2 linked regions of the Rattus norvegicus genome follow. The protein of the gene in region 1 purifies or fractionates together with the protein of each later gene. This does not show direct contact. Links are inferred from orthologs where the notes say so. Each region holds a gene or a part of one and is shown on either strand. Other genes may lie near its edges.

Region 1 (4,520 bases):
GAGAATATAGCCTCCTCATATCACACATGACAAGAGAATATAGCCTCCTCATATCACACATGACAATAAAATATAACCTCCTCATATCACACATGACAATAGACTATAGCCTCCTCATATCGCACAAGACAATAGACTATAACCTCCTCATATCGCACATGACAATAGACTATAACCTCCTCATATCGCACAACACAATAGAATATAGCCTCCTCATATCGCACAAGACAATAGACTATAACCTCCTCATATCGCACATGACAATAGAATATAGCCTCCTCATATCACACATGACAATAAAATATAACCTCCTCATATCACACATGACAAGAGAATATAGCCTCCTCATATCACACATGACAATAGAATATAGCCTCCTCATATCACACATGACAATAGAATATAGCCTCCTCATATCACACATGACAAGAGAATATAGCCTCCTCATATCGCACATGACAATAGACTATAACCTCCTCATATCACACAAGACAATAGAATATAGCCTCCTCATATCACACATGACAAGAGAATATAGCCTCCTCATATCACACATGACAAGAGAATATAGCCTCTCCTAGGGAAAAAGATGAAAAGAGAGAAATCTTCATGACTTTGTGGAGTTCTTCATGCAACACCCAAATCATAATCATTTTAAGTGTTTTTTTTCCTCTTCCGGGGAAGGAGTTGGGGGGCAGAGTAAAACTCAAAGGATTGCTTTTGGGGATCTATTCTTGCCTCCCTCCTTGTGGAGAAAGCGGCCTCTCCTGCTGTTTTTATCATTGGAGCAGCAACTCCAGGCTAGCTGGTTCTTAATGCTCTCCTGTCCATCTCCCACACTTCCTTAGGATGCTGTTATTACAAATGCACTCGACCATGCAAAGCTCTTCCATGGGTTCTATAGCCTGGAGAGCAAGTGCTCTTACCTGCTGAGCCATCGCCCTGCCCCCTCCCCTTTCAATGTGGATAAACTGGGATTCATCACGATTTTAGGGCTAGAGAGAGGGCTCCACAGTTAAGAACACTATTGCTCTTCCAAAAGAGTAGCATCCAATTCCCAGCACGGGGCAGCTCACAATCATCTGCAACTGGGTTCCAGGAGATCCTGCACCCTCTTCTGACCTCTGCAGACAAGGTGTACAGACAGATGTACAAGTAAAATACCCTTTTCAAAAATCTCTACATGAAAAAAAGCCTTTTAAAAAGTTTACTCTGCAAAGAAAAAAAAACTGTTAAGAGTTAAAATACTGGAAGGGAAAAAAAGTTTTCAAAACAGAAAACAAAGGACTTGGACCCATATAAACAAAGAACATTAAAAATTTTAAGGGTAGGCAATCTAGCAACAACATAAGTTATGAAAAAAAGAGACAAAATACAACCGTAGGGAGAACTGAACGGCCAAACAAGAAGTCATGAAAAGACGCTGGGCAGCATCAGGGAAGAGATGAAAACAAGCTATTGCTACACACCTGTCAGAACAAAATGGCAACAAAGTGTGTGAGGACTGAGAATCCGGAGGACTCTGTGTCTCTCAACCCCATCAACAGCCAAGGCAGCATCATCCTTAATGAGTTTTATGGAATATTTTATCCTGGATCTCTCTGAAAGACCAGTGATTCACAAGACATGATCACAAATGGGAGTGGGAGAACGGGAGGATGCCAAATTTCAAAGTGGCATTTCAATCACGTGTAGGCTGTGACGCTTCTATCAAAAGGGATCTTAATGTAAAATTCAAATTTAGAAATTCATACTGAATAACTTCAAAATCCAGTTATAACCGCAAGGTTCTTTCTGGAAGGTAAAAATTCTGGACCCAGTGCAATAAAGGAAAAATGACAGTATGGTGTGTTAACTCATACCTTAGCTATCTGATTTCGCCTAAGACTGGGTCACTTCCATCAGAAAAGTAAACTGTCCTCTCCACTCACACTCTCCCCAGATGCTGGAACGACCCTCACTCACTCTTACCAGTCGCTGGAATAGGGGCTTAAATTCCCCATCTTACTTACTTTCCCCCAAAAGACTTCCTTTCCCTCTAAGCTCCTCCTATCCACCCACCCCCAGCGCTTTATCTCTTACACTGTGTTCACCAACGCACTAGTCACATTCCCTCCATTAGATAGGAGCATTTCTTATGGCATAATAGGAGCGAGGGAGACTCAAAGATTTCTTACAGGAATAAACTGCACAGTGAAACACTACAAAGTATAAAGCAAGAACTGTGCTAAGTCAACGGTTTAGTGGTGACAGAGTAATTCATCCTCTACCCCGACAAGTTGTTGCAAATTACGAAAGATCAAAAGGCTCCCTGAGTTTTTAAAATGCAATTCTGTTTAAAGTCTTCCTTGAAAACCGGAGCAATTTGTCTCTAACGTGTAAGGAACTTGTAACCCAGTCACGTCAATTACTAAAGCCTTTTCTCATTACGCGTCCCCATTCAACTCCAAAATGAGCTTCAAGAAACCAGATCCTTGACATTTTTTCCCCCAACTACCGCGGCAACAATACGGATAAAGTAAGCAGAACTGACTTGGGGTCTGGCTTCTTAGAAGCACTATTCGCTACTTGAACTCTGCAGGAATAAGCTAGCACCATCCAACCTGGACATCACCAGAGGCAAAGGTGACAGCAGAATGGGAAGCACGCAGAAGCAGAGCTGCAAGCCACGCTGTTCTCTGGACCCGGGAGCAAAAACCAAACCCTGGTGCTAGAGCAGCTCCCGCCCTGCCCCTCAGGGCAGGGACAGTCCGCGAGCCGCACCCCTTTCCTTCCAGGGGGCCCGGGGGAACAGCACCCGGCCGGCGGGGGTCATGGCGCTCAGCCTCCACAGTCCTCGGCCCGGCTGCACGTACCTTCGCTCCGGCCTAGGATCCGGCAGCACAGGTTCTGCAGCAGAACATTGGGCGACTTCTGATCCGGTGTCGCCATTACCGCTCCCGGACTGCGCACTGCAGCCTCCCCGTACCCCAGGATCTCGCGCCCTGACTACGGCGCCGCCATATTCGCGGAAGCGGCAAAAGCGCGCGCCTCCCATAATGCACCGCTTCCCGCGCGAGGCGCGCATGCGTCTCCTCTGCGACTGCGCTCGCAGCTTCTCCGCGCCGGAAGGGTCACCGCAACGCCGGAGCGGTTGCTGGGCGACGCTCGCGGTAACTAGTTCCCGGGACTGCAGTGCGCTTCCGCAGCTTGCGGTCTGGGCGCCTCTTGTGAACAGCACTGGTTGGAGTTACATCTGGATGCCGAGTCCGAGCGCGCTTGAGCCCCAGGACAGTGACAAGAGCTAAGCTGCTACGCAAGGCTCTCACAAGTGAGTTATCTGGGGTCTGGAACCTCAGCACCTTGACGTCACCAGCAGGTAGTCCTGGAAATGGGGAGTTCTGAGATGGAGATGCTTGATGGAGATGCTCGCGGAGCTGTGCTGCAATGGAAAAATCGGACGCAGACAGGAGAAGATCCATGGTGTCTGGAACGCAGAAAGAAGAGAGTCCTCTTCGCTTGGGAACCTAGCTCCGCCGCCCCTGCCGGGGTGCTCAGTGGTCGGCAAATGAAAGCTCCTTTCTTGGCCACTGACTCAGGACTATGATGGCAGCGGAACTCACCGGGAGTTTAATGGAGAGCATGCCCTTATCCTTCTTTTGTTCGCAGACCGCTTAGCCACCCTTCCCTGTCCGCTCTATGATATACAGAATGCTAACGCACTCCTTGGACAAATGGTACCTAGTGGGGGCTCAGCCTGTTGAAGCCAACGATGGAAAACTGCAAGAGGGGACTTCCGGCTTCAGCCTGGAATCTGACTATGACTCTTAACAAGCTGAGATTCAACGCCTCTGCTCTCAGCCCATTCTTCCTCGCTGCAACCTACTTTGTATCACCCACACAGGTGATGCCCCAATCAGAAGGTCTAGAATAAGGCCATATGACTAACGTCAGGCTTTCCTGGTGTTTCCTCCACCCCGGGAGCAAGAGCAAACCTTCAGGTGTTCCACTTTTGTTTCCATCAGCCACATAACCAGATCTCCATCCGACGTCTCTGTAGACTCTGTTTTGTTGACTGGGTCCTAGCACACCTCCTTTGGTAATAGGAGTGATCCCAGCAAGAAGTCTTAGCATGGCTTTCTGAACTGAACACCCCCACATCTAACTGCAGATGTATTGACAATCTTTTGATTGAGTCAGGAAAAGCTAGAGTGGTTTGCTAGTCAGTGTGGCTATTTGAGGTGAAATGTCAGCTGGTAGATGAAAACACTTAGAAAGTTAAATAGCTGCTCCAGACAGGCGTTTGGATAGGAACATGGTCTTGACGGCAGTTGGCGGCTGTTGTCACCAAGCCTGATGACTTGAGTTCCTCAGGAACCGTACTGTAGGAGAAAAGCAGCTACCTCAGTTGGTCCCCTGACCTCCACATGTTTGCTCACACACACAAAATGAACTTTAAATTTTTTTTAAAGTAATAACCACATGACCTAGCAGGAAAATAGAAATGTTCATGGGCCTAGTCATGGCTTCAAAGAGCATGA
Region 2 (4,570 bases), on another chromosome or scaffold:
GTACTTATATATAGTAAATAAAGAAATAAATCTTTAAAAAAAAAAAGGGGGGGGGTTGGGGATTTAGCTCAGTGGTAGAGCGCTTGCCTAGGAAGCATAAGGCCCTGGGTTCGGTCCCCAGCTCCGAAAAAAAAGAACCAAAAAAAAAAAAAAAAAGTTACCCACTGAAGAAGAGTGAAAACTCTGATGAGCCCACAGAGGCCATGGTCTATCTAGCTCTCATCTCTGGGTCTTTTTCTCCAAGAGGACACCTTGGCTCTCAGCCTACTGAGTGAACTTGGGGGGGGGGGGAGAGGCTCTTTCCTGGCTCTCTGAAACGCTGGTATGAAGGGGAAGGTGGGTCCTGGGTTCCTAGACACAGGCAGAGAGCAGATTAACCTCGGCTTACGATGGGTGATGTCTTGACACCCCAGTGCCACCTGTCTCATGGCCTCTGGACTGTCCCCACTCAGCAACAGGACATTGCCATGCTGCCTGCTCCCTCCAAAGTGTGGGGACGAGGGAGCTGTGGTGTGGGGTCCCATTGTAAGAGAGGAGCGGGGTGCACAGCGCTGATATCCCAACTCGCACATACAGTTGCTACCTCATCCCTACAGTGTCTGCCTAGAGGGGACAACACTGGACTAGAGACAGTCTGCCCTCAGGCACAGGTAGCCAAGGGAGTCCTGCTCCCTGCTCTCTGGGACTCCCGTCTCTGTCCATGCCGGCTGGGTGCTTGAATTGGGGTCACCCATGCTAGAGCGAGATACTCAGCTGAGGGTCCAGGATGGGCAAGGCTTTCAGACCCATGGTGCAGTTTGTAAACTGTTCCACAGGGACTCTCTGGCATTCTAGCCTGTGACCTGAGAGCTCAAACTCCAGGACAACACAGGCTGCACTCTCCCTCCTTGGCCCACTGATGAGGTGAAAAAAGATTCCTTGGTCTCTTCTCCAACACCTGCATTTCGGGGAGGGGGCAGGGCCCATACAGGGCCACCATTCAGAATGACTGAGGATCCACATGGCAGAGAATCCTAAGACATGGTGTCTTACAGGATGCCACCTGGCTTTTCTGCAAAGATGGGGAGGGGGTGTGTGTGTGACCCACACAGAACAAGGCACCAAGGCGCACGGTCTTGACTTCTGTTTTGGACCTTTCGCTGAGCAGGACTCACCTTGAGTCCCTGGAACCAGCAAGAACACAGAGAGGAGCCACAGAAGAGCCATTGCCTGACCTGGAAGCCCAACCTGCAGCAGAAGGAACAACAAAGTTAGACTGGCCACAGCTCTCCGGAGGAGACTGGTAGTTCCATGGTCCCCTGTCAAGTTTGTGGAGGACAGGATGGTGTTGTGGGTGGTCCCTCTTCCGTAAGGCCCAGATGGCCATGAGATGACCCTTATGCAGGCCTCTCTCTCACATGCTCTATGGGACAACCTTCAGGACAGTAAGTCTCCCCAGATGAGGCAGGTGGGTTGAGGGCTCCTGGCAACGAGAACCCAGGAAATAGACAAGAGGCTATCCCTCAACGGTTGGTCTTATCTTCAGGCAGCAGCCCCCTTCGGGGTGTGCCCCAAAGGGACAAGATATGCCAGTCTGGGAGGGTGTTGTGGATGAGGTTGGAGCAGGGAACTCTCAGGAGGAAGTGACAGAGACAGTTGCAGAGGTCATGGCGTGATCTGGGGATGAGTGGGAGATGGGTCAGGGTCAACTGCCAAGGTGCTGACACACAGGGACTCAATACTAAGACTCTCTCGCCTGTCTGTAGAATGGGCCCCACCCAGGCACTTTCTCTCGGGCCCTGCATGAAGGGGGCTGACCTAGAGAGCAAAGTGCAGCAGCCCTGGTAGACTCATTCTAGTCCCGAGGGCAGTGAGGTCGGGGCTGGTAGTGGACGGTGCTGTAGAGCTCTGTCTCCTGGGCAGGAACTCAGCAACGAATCTCAAACTGTTTTGTTACTCAGACCAGGGGCCCAGAGACCAGCAGTAGAGGTTATCCCAGGATCAGTAGAAACACCAGGATTGTCCTCCACCCCAGACATTCTGTACCAGAGCAGCACGAGCAAGACCTCAGTGATCCAGGGCTCTTGTAGCCATCTTGGCAAGGGTGAAGATAGTCTAAGACAAACTCGTGCCCTTCCCTTCGGTTATCGTACTACTGAAGCAAGGACAGAACTGGAATTCCCCCTGGGAGTCTCATGCTGAAAGGAGAAAGCTGTTGCCTGGTGACAGCCGGAGGGGAAGCTTGTCTCCAGGAAATATCAGCCCAGTCTGGGATTTACAGCCCAGGCATAGGGCAGACCAGTTAGCTATACATTCCTCTATGTAAACCTCATGTTAATATCCCCTATAGACTCTGGGATGTTAATGGGGGAAGGCCACTGGACTCTTCTCAGTGTGGCTGGCGGAGTCTGGCTACCAGGGGAGCATTCTCACTATAGGCTCTGACCGCTGAACTCTATAACTCGATGATGGGTGGGAAGCTTGATCCTTAGTGCTGTGCACCCAGTCTTATCCCAAGGAGGTCTGGGTTCCGGGAAACCTGAGTCCCAGGCAAAGTGCCCTGGGTGCCCACCCCCTCCATTTACTATAAGCTGTGGTTATAGGGTTTGTCCATGCTGGGTCAGGAACTTTAGGCCTTGGGAACATTGCAGGGTATGTGGACATTTTTGTCCACTGGATGACAGGGGCTGTTTCTGCCTGACTCCTTTGTGTGGGAACTTGGGATGTGCCTGCCTATGCTGGCTCATTCAGTACCACTGTGTAGGTCTGTTTAGTCCTGGGTGAGAATCCACAGACCCAGGAGAAGGCCGAGGGATGAACTGTACCCCACTCACCCCTTCAGTTGTTCTTTCAGTGAACATCCTGCCTAACTGTTTAGAGGCTCTGCAGGTCTAGGTGTTCCTGTGTTCTGCGACCCCCCCCCCCAGAAATTATGCTGTGTAGAGCGGGGACTCACCTGGGAGCAAGAGACAGGTAGTCAGTCACCTGTCCAGGCAGCTGCTGCAGATGGTCCTGGAGCCTCCTTGCTGGCTGCAGCTCGAAGCTTTCTGTAGACTGTTCAGCTGAGAAAGGCCCCACCATGTGGTTTTCCTCAGCCTCTTCCCCGGAAATGCTTTATAAACCTAGTCTAGTTTCGATTTCCAGAAAACACATGACGGAGGCTGCCTCTGGGGTTGGCTGCAGACAAGGCTAATAGCCCTCTGCTTGCTGCTCTGCAGGGAGGATGGCAAGCACCCAAGTGCCCTGTGCTGAGCTGATAAAACAACAATGTTGCGGCTGAACAGATACATGTCCAGGCTGGCCAGGCAGGCACCCTGGGAGGGCAGCTTGGAAGGGGATGGAACAGATATATCCCCTTGCTGGCCTGGTAAGCACAGTGGGGGGCAACTTGTCCAGGCTGGCCAGGCAGGCACCCCGGTGGATGGTGAGAAGATGCTGCAAATGGGCCGGGGAGCAGAGGCTCAGGTCACACAGTGTCTGTGAACATGGATGTGGGCTGCACAATCCTTTCCTGGATCTGGGGAGGCTGGCTGTGCTCACTGCACAAACCTTCCGTGCTCAGAGCATGCTCGGAGGGAAGGTATGTGGGCCACAGAGTGGTCCTGAGGGATGGGAATCGAGATAGAAAACAGGAAGCAGGGCTAGGAGCTAGGGGTGGCTTGCTGGTTAAGAGCATTGCCTACTCTCTCGGGGGATCTGAGTTCAATTCCTGGCACCCATGTTGGTTGGCTTGGAACAGGCTTTAAGTGAACTCCATGGGATCAGACTTTGTAGGCACACACATACACCCAAGTGTGCTCATGCATGCACACACGCAGTGCACATACGTTTAAAATTTAAATCTTAAGAGGTTTCTTTAATACCTGTGGTGGCAAACACCTTCAACTGGGAGGCAGAGGTAGGTGGATCTTTGATAGTTAGAAACTAGTCTGGTTTGCGTTGTAAGTTCTAGGTTAGTCAGAGCTACGCAAAGAAAGCCTGCCTCGAAGGAAGAAAAGGAGAAAAACAAACAAACAAAAAACCCAAAACAACAACAACAACAACAAAACTAACAACAACAGAGATGGTAACCTGCAGCCAGCCAATCTTGACACTGTGAGTTTGATCCCTGGAACTCACTGCAGGAGAAAACTGACTCCTGTAAGCTGTCTTCTGATCTCTGTATGTCTACCATAGCCTGTATGTGCATGCACGTGGACACACACAGTAAATAAATGTGAAAAATTATATAAAATTCAAAGAGGACTGGGAGGTTGCTCAGTGGTTAGGAACACTTGTTCTTCTTGCAAAGAACCCAGGTTCCCTTAGGAACTCCCACATGGTTGCACACAATCACCATAACTCCAGTTCTAAGGGATACAACGCCCTCTCCTGATCTCCATGGTCACCAGGCACATATGTGGTGCACACACATCCATGCAGACAAAACTTCCAAATATATAAAATACATTAAAATTAACCTTATGATAGGTTTATACAGTGACCTAAATCCCAACAGCTCCCTGTGGCTCCCCCAGCTGCCAGCCCCATAAGGTTTACTACCTCAAGACACTCAACTCTTGAATGCTATTCAAAACGTCCGACACAAATG

What was found.
Region 2: the proteins of Tubgcp3 (region 1) and Lgals3bp purify together in Homo sapiens (affinity purification with mass spectrometry; 4 studies listed by BioGRID and IntAct, counting the BioPlex papers as one, with this or other methods). This does not show direct contact. The link is inferred for Rattus norvegicus from reciprocal best matches to the Homo sapiens genes TUBGCP3 and LGALS3BP.

What each region holds. Positions count from the first base shown.
Region 1 is NC_086034.1:83,552,467-83,556,986, reverse strand, and holds the start of Tubgcp3 (gamma-tubulin complex component 3), read right to left. Parts: upstream 3,003-4,520; 5' UTR 2,932-3,002; coding exon 2,856-2,931; intron 1-2,855. UniProt on the Homo sapiens protein: Component of the gamma-tubulin ring complex (gTuRC) which mediates microtubule nucleation.
Region 2 is NC_086028.1:104,124,779-104,129,348, forward strand, and holds the start of Lgals3bp (galectin-3-binding protein precursor), read right to left. Parts: upstream 3,071-4,570; 5' UTR 2,936-3,070; intron 1,228-2,935; 5' UTR 1,207-1,227; coding exon 1,155-1,206; intron 1-1,154.